4 linked regions of the Xenopus tropicalis genome follow. The protein of the gene in region 2 purifies or fractionates together with the protein of the main gene of each other region. This does not show direct contact. Links are inferred from orthologs where the notes say so. Each region holds a gene or a part of one and is shown on either strand. Other genes may lie near its edges.

The links. The genes of interacting proteins can lie anywhere in the genome.
Region 1: the proteins of sod1 (region 2) and tpi1 purify together in Homo sapiens (affinity purification with mass spectrometry; 3 studies listed by BioGRID, with this or other methods). This does not show direct contact. The link is inferred for Xenopus tropicalis from reciprocal best matches to the Homo sapiens genes SOD1 and TPI1.
Region 3: the proteins of sod1 (region 2) and ppia fractionate together in Homo sapiens (co-fractionation; 3 studies listed by BioGRID, with this or other methods). This does not show direct contact. The link is inferred for Xenopus tropicalis from reciprocal best matches to the Homo sapiens genes SOD1 and PPIA.
Region 4: the proteins of sod1 (region 2) and prdx5 fractionate together in Homo sapiens (co-fractionation; 3 studies listed by BioGRID and IntAct, with this or other methods). This does not show direct contact. The link is inferred for Xenopus tropicalis from reciprocal best matches to the Homo sapiens genes SOD1 and PRDX5.

Annotation. Positions count from the first base shown.
Region 1 is NC_030683.2:9,528,042-9,533,122, forward strand, and holds the start of tpi1 (triosephosphate isomerase), read right to left. Parts: upstream 3,522-5,081; 5' UTR 3,485-3,521; coding exon 3,373-3,484; intron 1-3,372. UniProt on the Homo sapiens protein: Triosephosphate isomerase is an extremely efficient metabolic enzyme that catalyzes the interconversion between dihydroxyacetone phosphate (DHAP) and D-glyceraldehyde-3-phosphate (G3P) in glycolysis and gluconeogenesis.
Region 2 is NC_030678.2:15,647,977-15,653,114, forward strand, and holds the start of sod1 (superoxide dismutase [Cu-Zn]), read right to left. Parts: upstream 3,364-5,138; 5' UTR 3,348-3,363; coding exon 3,279-3,347; intron 444-3,278; coding exon 350-443; intron 192-349; coding exon 122-191; intron 1-121. UniProt on the Homo sapiens protein: Destroys radicals which are normally produced within the cells and which are toxic to biological systems.
Region 3 is NC_030679.2:126,270,135-126,275,329, forward strand, and holds the start of ppia (peptidylprolyl isomerase A (cyclophilin A)), read right to left. Parts: upstream 3,522-5,195; 5' UTR 3,439-3,521; coding exon 3,370-3,438; intron 195-3,369; coding exon 164-194; intron 1-163. UniProt on the Homo sapiens protein: Catalyzes the cis-trans isomerization of proline imidic peptide bonds in oligopeptides.
Region 4 is NC_030680.2:34,742,246-34,747,586, forward strand, and holds the start of prdx5 (peroxiredoxin-5, mitochondrial), read right to left. Parts: upstream 3,522-5,341; 5' UTR 3,447-3,521; coding exon 3,435-3,446; intron 890-3,434; coding exon 755-889; intron 364-754; coding exon 232-363; intron 1-231. UniProt on the Homo sapiens protein: Thiol-specific peroxidase that catalyzes the reduction of hydrogen peroxide and organic hydroperoxides to water and alcohols, respectively.

The DNA of each region.
Region 1 (5,081 bases), on a different chromosome or scaffold from region 2:
GCCGCCCTATCCCACGTAGCATTAAGTGCCCGGCTATTTGTAGCCACAGGGGTCGTTTATTTTGAGCTCCTGTAAAAGGTTAAAAGTCACGACCTTCGCACACTCCCAAGTACAGAGCCGCCCAAAAGGTCACTGCTGTTTTTAGTAAGTGTGAGGCGCTCAGCTGTCGCAGCCCTGCCCGCTGGAAGCACCTCGATGGCTGGAACTTGCCCTTCAGTCTCTGGCTCATTCTGGGTGACCTTATCCCCAGGGACAGTGCAGACATACAGTAAGGAGGCATCCGGCGCTGTCTCTTTAAGGCTGACACTGCAGTTTGTACGTGACTCACAGCACAGACTCCCGGCTGCCGAGAGACAGGGGCAGGTCGCTAGCCAGGGATGCGTGTGCCCGGGGGGGGGGGGGGGGCTATCAGCCCCAACACTGTGCAAGCCCCATGGGTATCTAAGATTCTGCATTACTACAACTCCCAGAAACCCCTCTTATTTCAGAGCTTTCCCCTGCCTTTGTTAATGCCAAACCTGACTCCGCCCCCTCTTCCCCAAAACTACACATTAACCACTGAATTAAACGCTCCCCCGTGCAATGCATTCTGGGTCGTGTGCCTTTCATCATGCTGTATGAGCAATGCATTCTGGGCCTTCTCTCTGCACACTCCGGCTGGGTGCAATGCATTCTGGGTCTTACGGATCAAGTGGGGTCAGGCGTGTAGGTGCCAATGAATGAATGGGGTCTGGCCTGAATCCTGAATTCCCTGCCCTTGGGTTCAGGCGATGCAGCCGTTGCTTTAAAGCCACTTGCCCCCCCCTGCGGAGCTGCCATGTAGCAAAGGATTTTACAGCATCCAGCTTTATATATTGGCCTTTTTATTTTCCTTGTACTCGATACATCCTGTTATGAACACATACCCACTCCTGCCCTGTGTGCAAGGCATGCTGGGATGCCAGGGATACTGCACACATTACAGGCAGGCTGAACGCTATTATATATGAAGGACATAGAGGTCACAGCAGCGGATGCGGAGAGATTGTGGTTTGATTTAGAGCATCCCCAGGCTCCATAACGAGCTCTGCCAATCAGGAACTGAAAGGGGCCAATTATGGGTTAGAAATAATTCTATGTATATATCAGACACACGTAACAGAAGGGCAGGGAATATATTTCATATACAGAATTGTGCAAGTGACACGTTGGGCAAGGACACTTTGGCCGCTCAGGGTGCAGGATATTACCCAGCAGAGGGCCACGCTATATAAACCCAGCCAAATAACTACACTAAGCACTTAGGAGGCAACACATGGCCAGATTCGGTCAGGCAGACACCAAGCACACTGGCGCCTATACCAGACTGGGGGGGGGCCGGAGTGGGCAGAGCATCCCATTGTATTGCAGCCTGACTGCCATTGCACCATGTGGGTGGGGGCACAGTGATTGGTGCAGCAGCAGATACAAGATGGCAGCACCCCTGCACATGTATGGCCACTGTATCCAACTAACTGGCCCTCAGGCTGGGGGACTGGCAGGGGTGTGGCCACCTACCTGGGAAGGCTGCCAGAGGGGGTAGTTCAAATGGGGCTAGCAAAGAAGTGCATTATCTCAGCTGCACATACCCTTAAACCCCTTGCCCCATTTTAACCCCTTCCTTACAGCACAAACCCAATAACAGCCCCTAATAGATATGCTTAGGCCAAAGCAGCCCCCCCTAAAGCCTGGATACAACCCCTAATATATATTGTTAGGCCAGAGCACCCCCATAAAGCCTGGATACAGCCCCTAATATATATTGTTAGGCCAGAGCACCCCCATAAAGCCTGGATACAACCCCTAATATATATATAGTTAGGCCAGAGCACCCCCATAAAGCCTGGATACAGCCCCTAATATATATATAGTTAGGCCAGAGCACCCCCATAAAGCCTGGATACAGCCCCTAATATATATAGTTAGGCCAGAGCACCTCCATAAAGCCTGGATACAGCCCCTAATATATATTGTTAGGCCAGAGCACCCCCATAAAGCCTGGATACAGCCCCTAATATATATATAGTTAGGCCAGAGCACCCCCATAAAGCCTGGATACAGCCCCTAATATATATTGTTAGGCCAGAGCACCCCCATAAAGCCTGGATACAGCCCCTAATATATATAGTTAGGCCAGAGCACCCCCATAAAGCCTGGATACAGCCCCTAATATATATAGTTAGGCCAGAGCACCCCCATAAAGCCTGGATACAGCCCCTAATATATATTGTTAGGCCAGAGCACCCCCATAAAGCCTGGATACAGCCCCTAATATATATAGTTAGGCCAGAGCACCCCCATAAAGCCTGGATACAGCCCCTAATATATATTGTTAGGCCAGAGCACCCCCATAAAGCCTGGATACAGCCCCTAATATATATAGTTAGGCCAGAGCACCTCCATAAAGCCTGGATACAGCCCCTAATATATATTGTTAGGCCAGAGCACCCCCATAAAGCCTGGATACAGCCCCTAATATATATAGTTAGGCCAGAGCACCCCCATAAAGCCTGGATACAGCCCCTAATATATATTGTTAGGCCAGAGCACCCCCATAAAGCCTGGATACAGCCCCTAATATATATTGTTAGGCCAGAGCACCCCCATAAAGCCTGGATACAGCCCCTAATATATATAGTTAGGCCAAAGCAGCCCCCCATAAAGCCTGGATACAGCCCCTAATATATATTGTTAGGCCAGAGCACCCCCATAAAGCCTGGATACAGCCCCTAATAGATATATAGTTAGGCCAGAGCACCCCCATAAAGCCTGGATACAGCCCCTAATAGATATATAGTTAGGCCAGAGCACCTCCATAAAGCCTGGATACAGCCCCTAATATATATATAGTTAGGCCAGAGCACCCCCATAAAGCCTGGATACAGCCCCTAATATATATAGTTAGGCCAGAGCACCCCCATAAAGCCTGGATACAGCCCCTAATATATATTGTTAGGCCAGAGCACCCCCATAAAGCCTGGATACAGCCCCTAATAGATATATAGTTAGGCCAGAGTAGCCCCCATAGAGACAGACTTAGGACTTAGAGCAGAAATGGGCCACTGATTACACCTGCCCAGGGGCCACAGTTACAGGGAGGTGGGACAGGATATAGAAACGTATGCAGTTTGCACCTACACCTGCCCAGACTAACCAGCAGGACTCCGGCACTAACAGTAAAGGGCAACCCGACCCAATATAAGGTGCATACAGTTACACTGTTACCCTTCTGGTTACCGGGGGATGCTGGGAGTTGTAGGCAGGTTACGTTTTACTCCCCGGGATCGCACATGGGTAACATCCCCTACCCACACACACTGCACCCCAAACACACCGACGCCTATAGCGCCCCACCTGTGTCCGCACTGATCTTGCCGCTGTTTAGAGTGTTGATCAGCTCCGTCAGGCTCTTCTTGTCCCCATTCATCTTCCAATTTCCCCCGACGAAAAATTTCCTGGAAGACATGTCTGACAGTGTATGTGTTGCACCTAGGCGATACCGTTCGAATCTGGCAGAAGTGACAAGCGCCGCGGTCTTGCTGCCCCTTTAAATACGCCCAAGGGACACGCCCACTCCTGTCAGCGTACCGTTCCGTCAGACCCGCCCCCCCGTTGCCATAGTGAGCACCTGCGCGCCTAGTGCAGTGTAAGGGAGGCGCCATTTTGATTGATGGCAGGACAGTCATCCTATCCAGGGGGCTTGCAAATACCTGTTTCAACTTTTTTATTGTTTTGTGGAGTTTGGGTTCATTTAAGAAGACTCCCCAGTTTGTGGAAGACTTTTACATGTGCTAACCATCTGATTTATGACTGAAAAATAATAAAGTGATACGCTCAAATTGTGCCATAGATCATAGAGAAGGCAGTGTGGCTCTTCTGCTTGTCCTTTTCTAAGATCCTGGATGGAACTATAAATATATATATATATAACAATGGTTTCATTCTAGATGCTAAACTCACAGATCGTCTTATTACTTTGAGTTTCTTCAGCATTTTTTTCAGTTCAGTTCAGGAGCTCTCAGTTTTTTTCAGCAGCTATCTGGTTGCTAGGGTCCAAGTTACCTTAGCAACCAGGGAGCTGTTTGGGTGAGAGACTGATGTGAATAGGAGAGGGCCTAAATAGTAAATGCGGTTACAAAAAGTAAGAAATTCAATAAAACTGGAGCTTCACAGAGCAATAGTCTTTTGGCTGCCGGGGTCAGTGACTCAAGTGAGTCAGTGACCATTTATAAACTACAAAACGTTGAAAGAAGGTAAATAATAAAAAAAGAACAATAACAAATCCATAATGAAGACCAATTGAGAAGTTGCTTAGATTTGGCCATTCTATAACGTACTAAGGGGCCCATTCATTAAAGCACAAATTTTCGCCAATTAAAAGCACGATTGGGCTCTCCAACCTGGCCCAAGGAAAGCCTCCCATAGGGCTCAATGGCACTCTGCAGCTCCAACCCGGCCCAAGGAAAGTCTCCCATAGGGCTCAATGGCACCCTGCAGCTCCAACCCGGCCCAAGGAAAGTCTCCCATAGGGCTCAATGGCACCCTGCAGCTCCAACCCGGCCCAAGGAAAGTCTCCCATAGGGCTCAATGGCACTCTCCAGCTCCAACCCGGCCCAAGGAAAGTCTCCCATAGGGCTCAATGGCACTCTGCAGCTCCAACCCGGCCCAAGGAAAGTCTCCCATAGGGCTCAATGGCACTCTGCAGCTCCAACCTGGCCCAAGGAAAGCCTCCCATAGGGCTCAATGGCACTCTGCAGCTCCAACCTGGCCCAAGTAACCTGCTGGTTACTAGGCGCGACAAATGTGATTTTGTTGCAAAGTACGAAAAAGTCGTACTTGTCTGTGTGTGCCATACCCTCCCTGCCCTATGTTGCCTGTGGAAGATGAATCTTGCAGGGGATTGTTCTGGGATTTTTATCATTTGGAAATATGCTGCCTGTGTGTGCCATACTCAGCCTGCCCTACCCTGCCTGTGTGTGCCATAATCTTCCTGCCCTACCCTGCCTGTGTGTGCCATACTCTGCCTGCCCTACCCTGCCTGTGTGTGCCATAATCTTCCTGCC
Region 2 (5,138 bases):
TAAACAACAATACATTGGTGCGTACGACGGCCTAACTCTGCAATTCCTACATGTGCAACTGCAGGGAGTCCGGAGGGTGTACATACAGTATATGATATACAAAGACAATAGAGAGAATCACCTGACTGCATCTTCTGGGGCCCCGTGAGTCTTGCTCTCTGGGTTGAAATGAGGGCCCGCGCTGATACAGCCTGGAACAAGCAGAGAGCAGTCAGGAACACACGTAACTTTCTATTTCTGGTATTTATTGAGCACTGACACAGAGCTTCCCAGAGATTATGCATCATTCCCATCAGTCCCTTAGCCAAAGGAGCTTACACTCCACAGTCCCTGTTACAGCCACGCTTACCGTTGGTGTTGTCGCCAAACTCATGGATATGGAAGCCGTGCTTTCCGTCAGTCAGGCCGTAAATCTTCCCTTCAACTGTCACTGGGCCTTCGTCCTGCATAGAGAGGATTTTATTATAAGGAATTCCTGCCCCGACCATAACAGTACAGTGTATAGAAATCTATGTTATATTAAAGCTGGAATGTGCGGGTAGGATAGCGGAGCTATGGGATATATATGGCTACAGCATTTGGATTCAGCGAGGCGCAGGCTCTAACTGAACCCCTACCCTGAGTCACATGACTATTAAAGCTCTAGACGACTGAATGTAATAACGCTGCACATGTGGGCAAATCCGCATATCGTGCCAGTGCCACAGATTCAACTTGTCTTTTTAAACACAGCCCATGTTACTGGCCACTCATGCAGCAGATGGATCAAAAAGTGCCAGCACCTGAGGGGTTAATGGCATATGGCCCGCCTACAGAATGGGAAACCAATCAGAGCCACAGAGAAGATTCCTGACCTCGGGTTCATTTTTAAGCTGACTTATCTGTGGGATTGTGGGAGCTGCAGTCCAACACTGCCCGTCTCAGACACCGCTGGCACTGCTGCAGCCAATGAAACGCCGGAGCAAATGGCTGTTATTGCAAAACAAAGCTCGACGTTCCAGTCCCAAAGTGCTGAGTCACACTTACACAGCAGTGCCCTAACTGCCTGGCATTGTGCCCTATCTGCCTGGCATTCTGCCACACTGGCTGCTTCTATTGCAAAGAGCCCAGATGCAGTCAGATAGTGGGAGTTGTAGTTCAACCGCATCTAGCGGAGTCCCTGGGCCCAACACTGCTCTACAGACAGTGAATGACTGCACAATGTGGCTAATGGTGAGTGTGTGCCCTGGGCATAAACAGTGAGGGCTTGTGCTGCATCAGGGCCCCCCTGGCACAATTGCACTAACTGGCACAGCCTCAACCTGCCTGCCCAGCAGGCTAATTACAAGGAGATAACCAAGAGTGGCTTTGCCAACATGTATAATCCCCATGCCACATGGCCACAAAGCAGCGAGCCCCCGGCCCTCACACCCACACAACAGATGGCCGCTCTGACCCGACTTCCCCTCGCTGAGAGCCGCAGCTTAGCCCAGTGATAGCCGGCCCGCTGGCACGTCATGCAGCCTGGGCCTCACTGCAAACACACAGTCTGGGGTGAAAGGGCGGCACGTGACACACCAACCAGAACAGCGGGTCACAACATCAACCTGTGACTCTCCTGTATAACTAAACTATAACTCCCTGCATGCTCTTTGTGTTCATTGTAACCAATAGCAGCACTGGGCAAAGCCCTGGGGCACTGGTTTCAATTCCCTGGAGTTATGCAGGGCACCCATTCCTCATCTACTACATGGCAGGAACGGCTCCGGCAGGGCATGGGGCACTGGTAACAATGCATGTGTATAAGGACAGCAGACATGGGCACAACTGGCACCACAGGCTGTATGAAACTACAACTCCCAGCACCTACTTGTTCTGGAAGGTATTTTTGCAGGGCACTAAGCAGCAAACTAAATGATTCTGTGGGATTTCCCTACAGCGCAACATGGACTTTCCCCCCTGGATTCTGTGCTGTGGGGGTGGGACACTAGGTACAGAGCTAAAGGCAAGAGGCCTGGGAGAGGAGAGAGAGAGTGAGAGGGGGGGGGGGGGGAGACTAACGTGTGCATCCCACTTACAGCCCTCTGTTATTATACAACTCCCATCAACTGTCATTCATGATATAGCGGTCAGTGGGCTGCGGGGAGTTACATATCCCTCACCGAGTGGCGCTCACACCCCGGGGCCCTATAACAAGCGCTGTGTGTAGGAGAGACCGTGGAAGTGGCACAGGGGCCACAGCTTATGTGGAAATGATTTGTTCCCACCAGTAAAAGTCTAGGACAGAGACAAGACCCCCCCACACCTATACTGGCAATGCAGAAATACCCTCCTATGGGACTGTCCCTCCGCCTCCCAGCATGCACTGCCAACCCAACCGCCTCCCAGCATGCACTGCCAACCCAACCGCCTCCCAGCATGCACTGCCAACCCAACCGCCTCCCAGCATGCACTGCCAACCCAACCGCCTCCCAGCATGCACTGCCAACCCAACCGCCTCCCAGCATGCACTGCCAACCCAACCGCCTCCCAGCATGCACTGCCAACCCAACCGCCTCCCAGCATGCACTGCCAACCCAACCGCCTCCCAGCATGCACTGCCAACCCAACCGCCTCCCAGCATGCACTGCCAACCCAACCGCCTCCCAGCATGCACTGCCAACCCAACCGCCTCCCAGCATGCACTGCCAACCCAACCGCCTCCCAGCATGCACTGCCAACCCAACCGCCTCCCAGCATGCACTGCCAACCCAACCGCCTCCCAGCATGCACTGCCAACCCAACCGCCTCCCAGCATGCACTGCCAACCCAACCGCCTCCCAGCATGCACTGCCAACCCAACCGCCTCCCAGCATGCACTGCCAACCCAACCGCCTCCCAGCATGCACTGCCAACCCAACCGCCTCCCAGCATGCACTGCCAACCCAACCGCCTCCCAGCATGCACTGCCAACCCAACCGCCTCCCAGCATGCACTGCCAACCCAACCGCCTCCCAGCATGCACTGCCAACCCAACCGCCTCCCAGCATGCACTGCCAACCCAACCGCCTCCCAGCATGCACTGCCAACCCAACCGCCTCCCAGCATGCACTGCCAACCCAACCGCCTCCCAGCATGCACTGCCAACCCAACCGCCTCCCAGCATGCACTGTGCATCTCATACTGCCTAAGGGGAAAGGCTGGTTGGAATTGCACAGATGGCGCAGGCTGCAGGAACACTAGCAGCTGAAGGCACAGGACAGGCCCAGTAAGGGTAAGCGCATAAGGCACAATGCCTAAAGCCACGCTACAATACTCGCCTGTTGCTGGAAGTGCACCACCCCCTTCACGTCGCCGCTTCCCGCCAGCACACACACCGCCCGCACCATGACTGCAGCTACCGAGACCGGACAGCGGAGAAAGCGGAGCCGCGCACCTTGAGAGACAACTAGTGACACAAACGTACCACGTGATTCCTCCAACCAATAAAAGCGGCGCTTTAGGCCCCACCGCCCCAGCAGCTGAGCCAATGGGCTGCTCCCTCAACCACGTGACCCGCGGGCTGCCTGTAAGCTCTGACTCCGCCCAAATCTTTATTCTTGGTTGTATAATCAATAAAAATATCATTTTAATTAACAACATTTATTTGCACAGTTTCAGTGCTTTTAACGTTATTTGTAAATGCAATTGCTAAGGCAGTATCTGCTTATCCCTTTTTATTCTTGGGTTTTGACTTGAAACTGTAGCAGAAGTGTTAATGGGCGGATTTACATTAATGCTGAACTTCTCCAAACCCACCTGTTACTTCAAAATAAATACAAAATAAAGTATTTAAAAAAAAGATTTCCTTACTGAGCAGTGCTACTGACACTATGGGGCCCATTTACTAAACAATTTTGAGATAAATTCGTATTTTTATAGAACATTTTGGAATGTATGGGAAAAAGTCAGTTTCATGGTTTTTCATGGTTTTCGGTAAAATTTCCATGAAAAAGTCGTATTTTGTGCACAGAATATGAACATTTTGGAATTCATTATCGCTATGGTTACACTTTGGGACGTTGCCAGGTTTGTCAAGTGCCATTGAGTCCTATGGGGGCTTCAAAAACTGTTTTTGTGGCGTTTACAAACTTTCAGAACGCAATTGCGATATTTTTGCACAAACGATAAAAGCTTTGTCGAGACATTTTAGAACTACAGAAATTATCGTGTTTACTTTGCATTTCAAGGCCAGAAAAAAGCGCATTTTAGTAAATGTGCCCCTATGTCTGTTTCTTGGAAAAGCCCCAGGCTCCGCCAAACTATCCCGATCCCTGGCTGCCCTCCCCTATTGCTCCCTCGCTGCCCTCCCCCTGCTGATCGTGGAAAAAGTAAGTATAAGTTGCACTGGGGGGGGGGGCTAGCCTTAGATGAGTAGCCGGTGGGGGTGCCAGAGGGGGTGAGGGGACCCCTGGGTAGCAGTCGGACCCTGGCACTGGAGGGGCTAGCCTTAGATGAGTAGCCGGTGGGGGTGCCAGAGGGGGTGTGGGGGCCCCTGGGTAGCAGGATAGCATAAATAATGCCTGGGTGCAGGATAGCAAAGCATCTGTATAGTATGTATAAATGCCGCACTCACAGGTCTTATGAAAACAAAAAATATTTATTAGCAAGGACTAACGTTTCGGCTGACACAGCAGCCTTTCTCAAAGTGAATGTGCAACAAACAAATCCCCCAATAAACCCAACAGTGGCGCCAAAACCAGTATGACATCATCAACTGGGCGTGTGTTATCAAAAATAGAGAAAAAAAACACAAAGAAAACAAAAAAAAACAAAAAAAAAAATAGAGTAAAATCGAGATTTTCAGACAGAAAAGGGCAAAGTGCAATTACCGGTGTGGTTATCACAGGTTGAACACCCAGTGTGAGGGAAATTGATCAGTGAAAAGTAAATGTTAAAATACTTGTACACACATGTGTTGAACTATAACTCGCAACACGTATTCATGGAGCGAGGCCCAGTCCCGGGTCCGGTTAATAAACCGAACGACAGTGGTGACAGGAGGCAAAATAAGGTTTAGTAACTAGTAAGGGGGCATTAAGCCGCCCACATATAACACTCAAACAGAGCGTGGCAATAAGACAGTCATAGGCTTGCGTCATACAGTGACCGTCAGAGAGAAGAATAGCGCTGCTAACTCA
Region 3 (5,195 bases), on a different chromosome or scaffold from region 2:
AGTTAAATGACAATTCAATATTCACAGAAATCAGATATTGTATATTGTGACCGCCCCACATTGTCTGGCAACTTAATTCAAACTACAAGAATCATACCATTTAGAGAAGGCAGTGGGCACTCTAAATTTTATACAAACAAAATGGTGCAACAGCACAACTTACCTGCAGTCTTTGGAACCACATCACTCCTGAGCTGTAAGAGAAATATATATGTTACAATGTGACAGCTTTAGTTTCAGAATGAATACAGTTGTCAGACAAATAGTTTAGCGCTTCTGGTATAAAGGGAAAAGTATGTTTATCTTTGAGGCCATGACAATAGGCAAAATGGAGAGGCTTAACACATTACGGACATGCACATGTGTATCTTATTATACAACGTATTGTCCCCTGGTAACCTCTACTGGTTTACGTAGCACTTTATTCCTAAACTATGAACAGCTTAGTAGTACTAGCAGGGTGCAGTCAGAGGGGCAGGAACTCCACCCTGGGAATAGTTGTGGGGATGCCATGGGGCTGAATGGTTTAAGACTGAATACCAGAGGCAGAATGACAGCTGTAGGCACCCATCACATGCCAGGCTGTAGCCCAGTGCCCAACGCAGACTTGTTTGATACTGTACAATAGACTGCATGCTAACCTTAGTCTTTTCTACTGTAGACCGTTTTCCCTTTATAGCAATACTTGAAATTCCATGATAATTTGACTAATTCCATTTAACATAGGCTTGCATTCCATAGGCCATTTAGGCTATAGAACATAAATGTGGCTGCTTGATAAAGAAACATGCCATTTGACTAGTAAAGGTAATATCCACAGACTCAGATGGACAAGGCAGACTGATTGCTACTCAGGTTAAGGCAGGGACCCCCAACCAGTGGCTCGGGAGCAACATGTTACCCACCAACCCTTTGGCTTTTGCTCCCAGTGGCCTCAAACAGGTGCTTATATTTGAATTCCTGGCTTGGAGGCAAATTTTGGTTGCAAACAGACCAGCCTGTAGGCTGCCAAATAGCCAATCACAGCCATAATTTGGTACCCCAGGTACATTTTTAATGCTTGTGTTGCTCCCCAACTTTCACATTTTAACCGTCTCACAGGTATAAAAGACTGGGGAGCCCTGGATTAAGGACACGCAGATTAGAAGGCTGGCCCTGGCATGACCTGACTGGGGAGTAGACACCACAGGGAAGTGCCGAATACAAAGATGCCTGGTTGCAGCACAGAACACATCTCCCACTTCCTGGCTATTTATGAAGTGTTGATCCCTTGCAGATGCCTTGAGACTTTATGAAGACAAACAATAAACTGCTGCCAAGAGTCCAAGCCTGACACCACTAGACGGATGGTTTGTAACTATATTGCACTGCTCGTCAGCATACAAACCTTAACCTGGCCATACATGCACAGTACTGACCGAGCCCCTTCTTGTATGGTCACTCACAGCACCCATCCGTATTACTGACCAGCACATGGCCATTTCTGGGGGATTGGGGGGGCGGCATTACCCAGGGCACATAACTACCTTCTGTTGTCCGATACCCCACTGTAGCTTTTATGCCCTTAATAATGCAGCATGGCATATGCAAGAGCATTAATATTTAACCATGAGAGGGGACAGGCATGCCAGGCAGTTCATTGTGCAAGATGTAATAAAGTTAAAGTGAACCTTATTACATCAGCAGGAGTCGTGCCCTTGCTTAGGCAGGAGACCAACGCATTTGGTGCAGTGTTGCTAGCCCTGCATACCAGTGTTAGAGGGGGAACCATGGCACAAAGATGGCAGGAAGGCAATGCCTATGCTTGATTATGGCAGACCACCACCACGTGAAGCAAAAAAAGGCTCATGCAGGGGAAGGATTAACATGACTGCAGAACTGAAAATGCCTTATATGGCTTCAGTTACGTCGCTATAAGTCTATAAATAGCAGATTTAACCCCTGTATGAAGCGCAGTAAGTGCATGCAGATTGGACACCCTGGGACAGAGAAACCCATGCAGCCACAGTTCTGTACATAGTAATATAAAGCATTTACCATCCCCTATATAGCCATCAGTATGCACTATATCTACCATATAACATACACACCATGTGGATTTGCTGGCTCAGGCACTGCAGTAAGAAAGGGAGAGGGGCCTGCATGCCACCAAGGGGACAGTAACCCTGACAGCACCTCACGTACTTGCCCCTCAGCTCCAATCCCTTTAGACACAAACCATGCAGAGCGACTACATCAGCTTTCCCCTGGCACCAATACACAATGGCATTACCCATGCACCCAACATGCACTGCTGGGGCCCCTAAAGCACTCCCTGCATTAGCCTGAGGGAACAATAAGCCCTCACTGACAGGCTTTGTGCATAAAGCCTTTAGGCCAGGCAGCAGGTGTATTTCCCACAGAGCGGTGTCTCCTCGCTAGGGCACGGCGTGATTAAAGCCCTTTGAATTCTACACTAAATATACCCGCCATGCCCACACCCCAGCAAGTGGGGCATCCCACAGGGCACACCTACCCCGCACTAACACAGGGCTGAGCAGCTCAGCAACCAAGCAGACATTTTGAGAACAAGAAATCTTCACATTACTTGATTTCTTCTAAAATGGATTCCTCCTCCCCCTCCATAGAAGTGACACACGGGAGGCGGGCTCTCCCAGCCAGCGAATAAAGGGCCTAGTATAGTAAGACCTAGCAACAGACATTCACTTGTACCATATTTACAGTAAATGATATATAGCCACCCTCAGCAGCCCCCAGCTCTTGCACCAACATGTGGCAGAACTACCCTCCCTGTACTTGCCTCCGCTAGGAATGCTGGGAGCTGTAGTCCGACCATTTTGCCCAATACGCTGCCCAGCGGATGTATCACAGCCATAACTATCAAACAGCGAATGAACTCGCTGCACAGCAGGACATGATACATTAGTGATACAGTTACATTGTCATTTTCTTTATATTAACGACTAGAAGGCGTCAAGTTACCCCCCCAACCAAGAGCCTAGTGTATCACGTGACACCGAGGAAACATGTATGCGGTAAGAATAACGCTGCAATACAGCCAGCAGATTCACCCGGGGCTGGGGGAGACGGCCAGACCCGCAGCGCAGTGACGCCCCCGCACCATGCAGCAAACAATGGAACCCCCCCCGGCCCATTCCATCGTGTTACAGTCATGTGACCGGCTCACCCCATCGCTCCAGCTAGCCCCAAGCACCCATGGGAGCCGCACTCACACACACAGGAACATGGCACACGCAAAGAAAGTGCAACCGGACTCTATCAAACCAGCAGTTTCTGACATTCTCACAAATGGCGCCAAGACTTAATGCCACCCCCCTCCCCCGACAGTAAAGAGTCTACTCTCATTACCTCCATGATAATACGGCCCATCGGGCAGCCATCAACGGCGATGTCGAAAAAGACCCTGGGTAAAGCCATAGTGCAGAATGAAAATAAACAGTGCCTTGCCGTGAGCGCAACGTGCAGCTTCCTAACCCCCTGAACTCTAAACAGCCCAAGAGAACCACGGAAAAGAGCTTAAAAACGGAAGCGGGGCTGATATTATATGAGAAGCTTGGCCCCGCCTGGCATCGTTTAAGGGAAACACACCAATAGAATGGTTCCATGGTACTGATTGACAGCGCGGCGGGCCAATAGTAGGCTGCAGGAGAGCTCATAAGGTGTGGCACAGAAGCGCGGGAGTCCTGGGCGCGGCCTGTAGAGGTGCGGTGAGGGCCGGTCCGGCTGTGACGCGGGGAGTGGCTGCCTTCGCTTTGGGCTATAACTCAGGGTTAACACTATTCAGCGGATAGGGTAATCCGGCATGCATTTGTGGCTTTATACGACATTGCTGGAAAGCGTTCTTCATAACGTATAGCTGATGAATGGCTAATAGTAAGTGTAATAGCTAGTTCTGGCAAGCCCTTCAACATACTTCTTTCTGTAGGTGCACTAAAAAAATTTGCAGCGTTGCAGTAAAGTGAGAGTGGACTGCAGCGAACCAAACCCGGTGTAATAGGGATTTTGAGTGTTTTTGTCGCCTGAGCGTTTTGTAACTCAGCTGTTACCTTCTGGAGCACTGAAACATTATTTTGCCCAGTCCTGCTCTTAAGGGCAAATGCCCATACCTGGTGCACTCTTACCTTCCAGTTTGTGCCTGTATGTTACCCAACCACTCAGATTGTAAGCTCTACGGGGCAGGGACCTCCTTCCTACTGTGTCTCATACCACATGGCACTTATATATATATAGATATAGATATATATATTTATTGTATTTATTTATTATATCACTTGTCCTCCCTGTGTGTAATTTTGTATTCTGTAAGACTGTACAGCGCTGCGTACCCTTGTGGCACTTTATAAATAAAGTTATACATACAATGGCGATACAGCATTATAAATTGCTTTCCATTAATTCGAGAGGCATTTGCCTGCTCAGTGCTGAGGTGATTACTGCTCCAAAGCGTCTCTTAGTTATAATTGCTTGAGCTTAATAAGAGGTAAACAAGGACAATGCTTAACTGCTTTGACGCCCATCTATAGAGCTACAAAATAGGGGACAAAACGTGCAGATGTGACCCATGTGGCGACCGTAAAATAAAGTGATAGGTGTGTTTATAAATGTAGAAGCCAGGTGGCCACCGGTGATTCCCATTGACATTGATGGTGTTTTGAAGCATTTCATTTTTTATCTTACCAGGAAAGCAAGACCTACTAAACCTACACGCAAACAACTAGGGGCAGATTTATTAGGACATGAACGCTCGGAGCGTATTTTCGCCGAGTTTTTCGTACGCTTGCGCGAAAAAATCAGAAAGGTTTTCCCGCTGTTTACAATCGTTCGGTATGAAAATTTAGTGACTTTCGGATCACCAATACAATATTATCATGACTAATACAATTTTTTCGTAAGCATTTTCGTGATATTTGCGATCTTCAGAAATTATAGTATCCAATCCGAATTTTTCTCATTCGGGATTCGAACGCTTGAATGGTCCCCCTAGGGTTGCCATATTTAATAATAATATACCTGCCTTTTCATCTGTATTTTTATGGGTTTTACAGTCAAGCATTGTTTTTAGCAGCCAGGGTGGTATAATACCAAGCTGGTGGCAATCCTAGCTACCGCCAACCCCTCTGTGAATATCGTAGCCTGGCATTTCGTATTGGGCCTGTGGCCTATTTTGTACCTTA
Region 4 (5,341 bases), on a different chromosome or scaffold from region 2:
TCTAATGTGGCATCATGAATGCAATTGCTTCTTACACAATGACTTACACAAGGTGGTAATGAGCCAAGAAGAGGAGTTGTGAAACAAACCAGGCCCGGCAAAGTATATTTAACTCCTAAATTCCTAAAAGCAAAAAACATGAAAATATTTCCTTTTCTGAAAGGGCATTTAGGCCCTGTTATAGTTCTGCCATGAATCACTGATACTATGCCTTATCAGCCGGCCACTTACCTTCCCTTCTGCATCATATGCCTTTGCCCACTCGCTCATCACAAAGATGTCATTGACTGAGATGCAGGCAATAACTGCTGCACCGCGGGATTTCAGCTCGGCTGCTTGAGCCACGTACCCCGGCAGATGAGTCTATATATGCAGAAAGACAATGAATGAGACTTAGTTTGTGATGTTGACATGCATATTTATCCACGTGTATGTATGTATGTATATTTTTATTTATAAAGCGCTACTTATGTACGCAGCGCTGTACAGTAGAATACATTAATACAAACAATGGGTTAATAAGATAATAGATAAATACAAAGTATAACAATAAATACAAATAAATACAAGATACAGTTGCAATAAGTTAAGAGTCAAAGACACAAGAGGATGGAGGTCCCTGCCCCGTAGAGCTTACAATCTATATGGGAGGGTAACTTACAGACACAAGTAGGCAAATATAAGTGCTGTAGGTCACAGTGGGTGACACTACAATATAAGTGCCATTTCCCTGATCATGCTTCTCTTCCTTTACCTTGGAGCAGCCAGGAGTGAACGCCCCCGGGACACCAAACAGCACCCCCTTCTTGTTAGCAAACACATCTCTGATGCTGACCTTGTTCCCAGGCCCCCCCTCATACACCGTCACATTAGGAAGTTGATCTCCAACCTGCAAGTATTGAATAAAAAAAAAACCCCAATGAAATATTAATTGTCTATAACAAGGAAGTGTACAAAGTTGTCTCAGGGATTTGCCCACAACCGAAATCCATTGTGTAAGTAATTTCCTTTACACGACACTGGAATTTATTAAGGTGTCTCTTCCTCATTGCGACATGTATAAGATTACAGTTACCAGCTTTGGGTAACAATTAGCAGTATCAGGTTGCCACGGCTTATTTTTCTTTCAGTGTATATGCAATTACAGTAGTCCTTCTGTGACAATACACTTATACAAATGGCAAGCAGCTTTAACAGGATGGATCACTGCTCCTAAATAATGAATGTATTCAGAGTAATGGATATTTCATGCTAATATCATAATACTACACATATTAATCTGAAAATTATAAGAAACAACTATATGTTCCTAGCCTTGGGCACATATATGTCCCCTGCAAATAAAGTATATATTGAATATAGACCAACATCACACTAGCCTATGTCTCGGCAGCAAACAGGTGTTCAGGGAAGTCTGACAGGTGGGTGCTGTTACCTGGCACCATGCAGGGAGAGCAAAGAGGGAAGCCTGTGAGCATAAGAATAGTGGATATAAGAATAATGGATTTGCAGCAGGGTCAGAGTGTTGTGTGTAAGGTGGGCTGATGTACTGATGAAGCAATACAAAAATTAGGAAAGTATTGAATACCAGATCTGATCATTTTCAGATTTAGAAGACTCCTTATTCCTGGCCGAACTGAATCCAAACCCTAAACATCACATGACTTTAGACAATGTGACAGATGAAGGTTGATGATTATTTTTTGAATGCTGTGTTTTTTTCCAAATGTTGTTAATTACATATGCAAATTAGTGTTTGGCTTTGGTTCGGTATTTGGACAAATCTGGTGTGGTAGAGTCCCACAAACTGACATGGGTGTATTAGTAGGGTGTTTCACTTATTAACCACCTAAAGCAGATTTTGGGGGAAGGGTGAATCCTCAGCGCATACCCAACAATAAAAGAACATTCTAGGCAACTTTCCAATACACAGTCATTACACATTTTCAGTTGTTTAAGAGTTATGTGTAAATGTCACTGCTACTGAAAAAACTAAAAGTTTTTTTTTATCCCTTTCTGTTTTGATTCTCTGCAAACAATATATTTGAAATCAGTTCTCTGGGTATATTATCCAGCCTCTGCTCTGTTGCTTTAGAAGGTACCAATAACTTTGAAGCATTCATTGTTATATGTATATTGGAACATTGCTTATAACCGTGGTCCCCAACCCGTGGCTCAGGAGAAACATGTTGCTCCCCAACCCTTAGATGTTGCTCCCAGTGGCCTCATAGCAGCTGCTTATATTTGAATTTCTGGCTTAAGGTGGCCATACACGCACCGATATTATCGTACGAAACCTCGTTTCGTACGATAATCGGTGCGTGTATGGTATGTCGGCGAGTCGACCGATATCGCAGGAACCTGCTGATCGGACCAGTTGGAAAATTTTGATCGGGCGCCATAGAAGGCGCCTGACCAAAATTCTCCCTTCAGATCTGAATCGGCATAAGGAGGTAGAAATCCTATTTTTTCTACCTCCTTACCTGCCGATTCAGCCCTGAATGGTGTGTGGCGGATCTTACGATGTTTCGTGCGACCGATGGTCGTACGAAACATCGTCAGATCGCCACGTGTATGGCCACCTTTAGAGGCAAGTTCTGGTTGCATAAAAACAAAGCTTTCTGCCAGTCCACATAGTGGCTACCGAATAGCCAATCATAGTGCTTATTTGGTACCCCCAGGTAAATTTTTCATGCTTGTGTTGCACCCCAACTCAGGTGAAAAAGGTCAGGGACCCCCAGCTTGGAATCACATTTCCTTTCACTATGCAAAAAATGAATAAACATTTGGGTGGAGTTTCCCCTTAATTTTGCTTGGAATTTGGATTATCTTATTGCAGGCCCGGACTGGCAATCTGTAGGCTCTGCTTAAAATGCCATAGACACTCACTTGCTACTGGGCCTCTGTGTACTTGATAAGGCAGAGCCTGCAGTATTTAGAATCTTAGCCCAGAGCTGCGATACTGTAACCAGACTAAAATAATCATTGCCAGGAGTAATTCCCCTGTTGCAATATACAAAGACGTGGAAACCCACTGGGAATTCTGGTGACAGCAGTTTGGCTTTTCAGCATGTTGTATGTATGTGTGTGTATATATATATATATATATATATATCTTAAACTCCAGTCCTTCATTATTTTATACAACAAGTGCACTGCAGAGCTTACTATCTATTAGTTGTACCTGGGCAAGCAGATAACATACCCAAGAACAGTAAGGAGTGAAAGCAGGAGCCACAGCATGCCAGGGAAGGAGGGCACACACGTTTATATAATCTAACTCGTATTTGACAGGCTGCCCAGTAGTATGAGATGTGGAATCCAGCCAATACCCACACAGAGAAATCTCTGCCGCACACAGGACATTGCTGCCGGTTACACTGTGCCAGCGCACATACCTGCCCACTACAAGCCGCTACTCGCTACATACGCACCTTTACAGACATGGCTCTTGTTCTGCTCACGAAACTTCCAACCGCTCGCAGAGGTGACAGGAGGAGGAATGAGACGGGGAGCCGAAGAGCCATGACAACCAAAGTGGGCTGAGCCGATGGGACACGGCAATTCCGCCCCTATAGGGCAGGCAAGGACTTTTTAAAAATTCCTAGCGCGCATGCGCGCACGGACAAAGCCCTTAACCTTTAAGGTTTGACGACGCATGCGCGGGGGGTTTGTTTCGCGGCAGAACGTAGCACTTTTTCTATTCACTATTTCTTTAATGTTAGTAGTGCTGCAATTGGGGTGTAATGCCGTCCCGCCTGTTCTGTTCTTCCCCCAAATTGCATTCCGCCAGGCAGTATGGCAGGTTTGTGCATAGGGAGCTTTGTTGTTGCCGCCCGACTTTCTCTTGCGGCTCTCTGGCTGCTCGTTCTGCCTCCGTGTGTTTCAAATGTGTCAGCAGCCAGCAGCACTTTACTAGATAATCCTACTAATCGGCACAGAAATACCCGCTTCATGTAGATCCTTGTTCTCAGTGCTGAAAAAGAAGGAGAAGCGAGAGGCACACTGATATCCCCCCATAACCCACAGAAAAACAGAGGCACAGTAATACACACCCACAGAAAATGAGAAGCACAGTGATACCCCCCCAGCCAATCACAGGCACAGTGATCCCCCCACCCCATAGGCCAAAAGAAAATCCAAGGCACAGTGATACCCCCCCCCCCCCCAGAAAATCCGAGGCTAAATGATCCCCCCCACCCCATAGACCAGTGCTGTCCAACTGGCGGCCCGCAACCCCCCTCTGTGCGGCCCCCCACCTGTCTGGCTGCTTTGATGGCTTACTCTTGTGTAAGCTTTAAATGGTATCAGTACTGAGATTAACTGCCCCCCCTGCATGGTTCTCACCTCTGATTCAGGCTGTAATCCCTCTGTATTGTTTAAATATGTAATCCCCTGTGTTGTTCACACCTTTTAATCTCTGCATTGTTCACCCCCTGTAGTGTTCACACCTCAGGCTCAGGCTGTAATCACCCATATTGTTCCCCTGTTCACACCTCAGGAGGAGTAGAAACCCACAAATAATCCCTGCACACTACAAAAAGAACATATACTGAGGTGGTACTGCAATTAAAAAGTTTTTTAATATATAGTTATTGTGCAGACTGTAGGAGCACTGCCAGCATTGTGTCACTGTATGCTGCCTGTGTGTGCCATACACACAGGCAGCATAGGGCAAGCAGAGTATGGCACACAGGCAGGGTAGGGAAGGCAGAGTATGGCACACACAGGAAGAGTAGGGCAGGCAGAGTATGGCACACACAGGCAGGGTAGGGAAGGCAGAGTATGGCACACACAGGAAGAGTAGGGCAGGCAGAGTATGGCACACACAGGCAGGGTAGGGAAGGCAGAGTATGGCACACACAGGAAGAGTAGGGCAGGCAGAGTATGGCACACACAGGCCAAGTTTGGCACAAACCAGCCAAGAATGGCACACACAGTGAAAGTATGGCACACGCAGGCAGGATAGGGAAGGCAGAGTATGGCACACACAGGCAGAGTAGGGAAGGCAGAGTATGGCACACACAGGCAGGGTAGGGAAGGCAGAGTATGGCACACACAGGCAGAGTAGGGCAGGCAGAGTATGGCACACACAGGCCAAGTTTGGAACAAACCAGCCAAGACTGGCACACACAGTGAAAATATGGCACACGCAGGCAGGGTAGGGAAGGCAGAGTATGGCACACACATGCAGGGTAGGGAAGGCAGAGTATGGCACACACAGGCAGGGTAGGGAAGGCAGAGTATGGCACACACAGGCAGGGTAGGGAAGGCAGAGTATGGCACACACAGGCAGGGTAGGGAAGGCAGAGTATGGCACACACAGGCAGGGTAGGGAAGG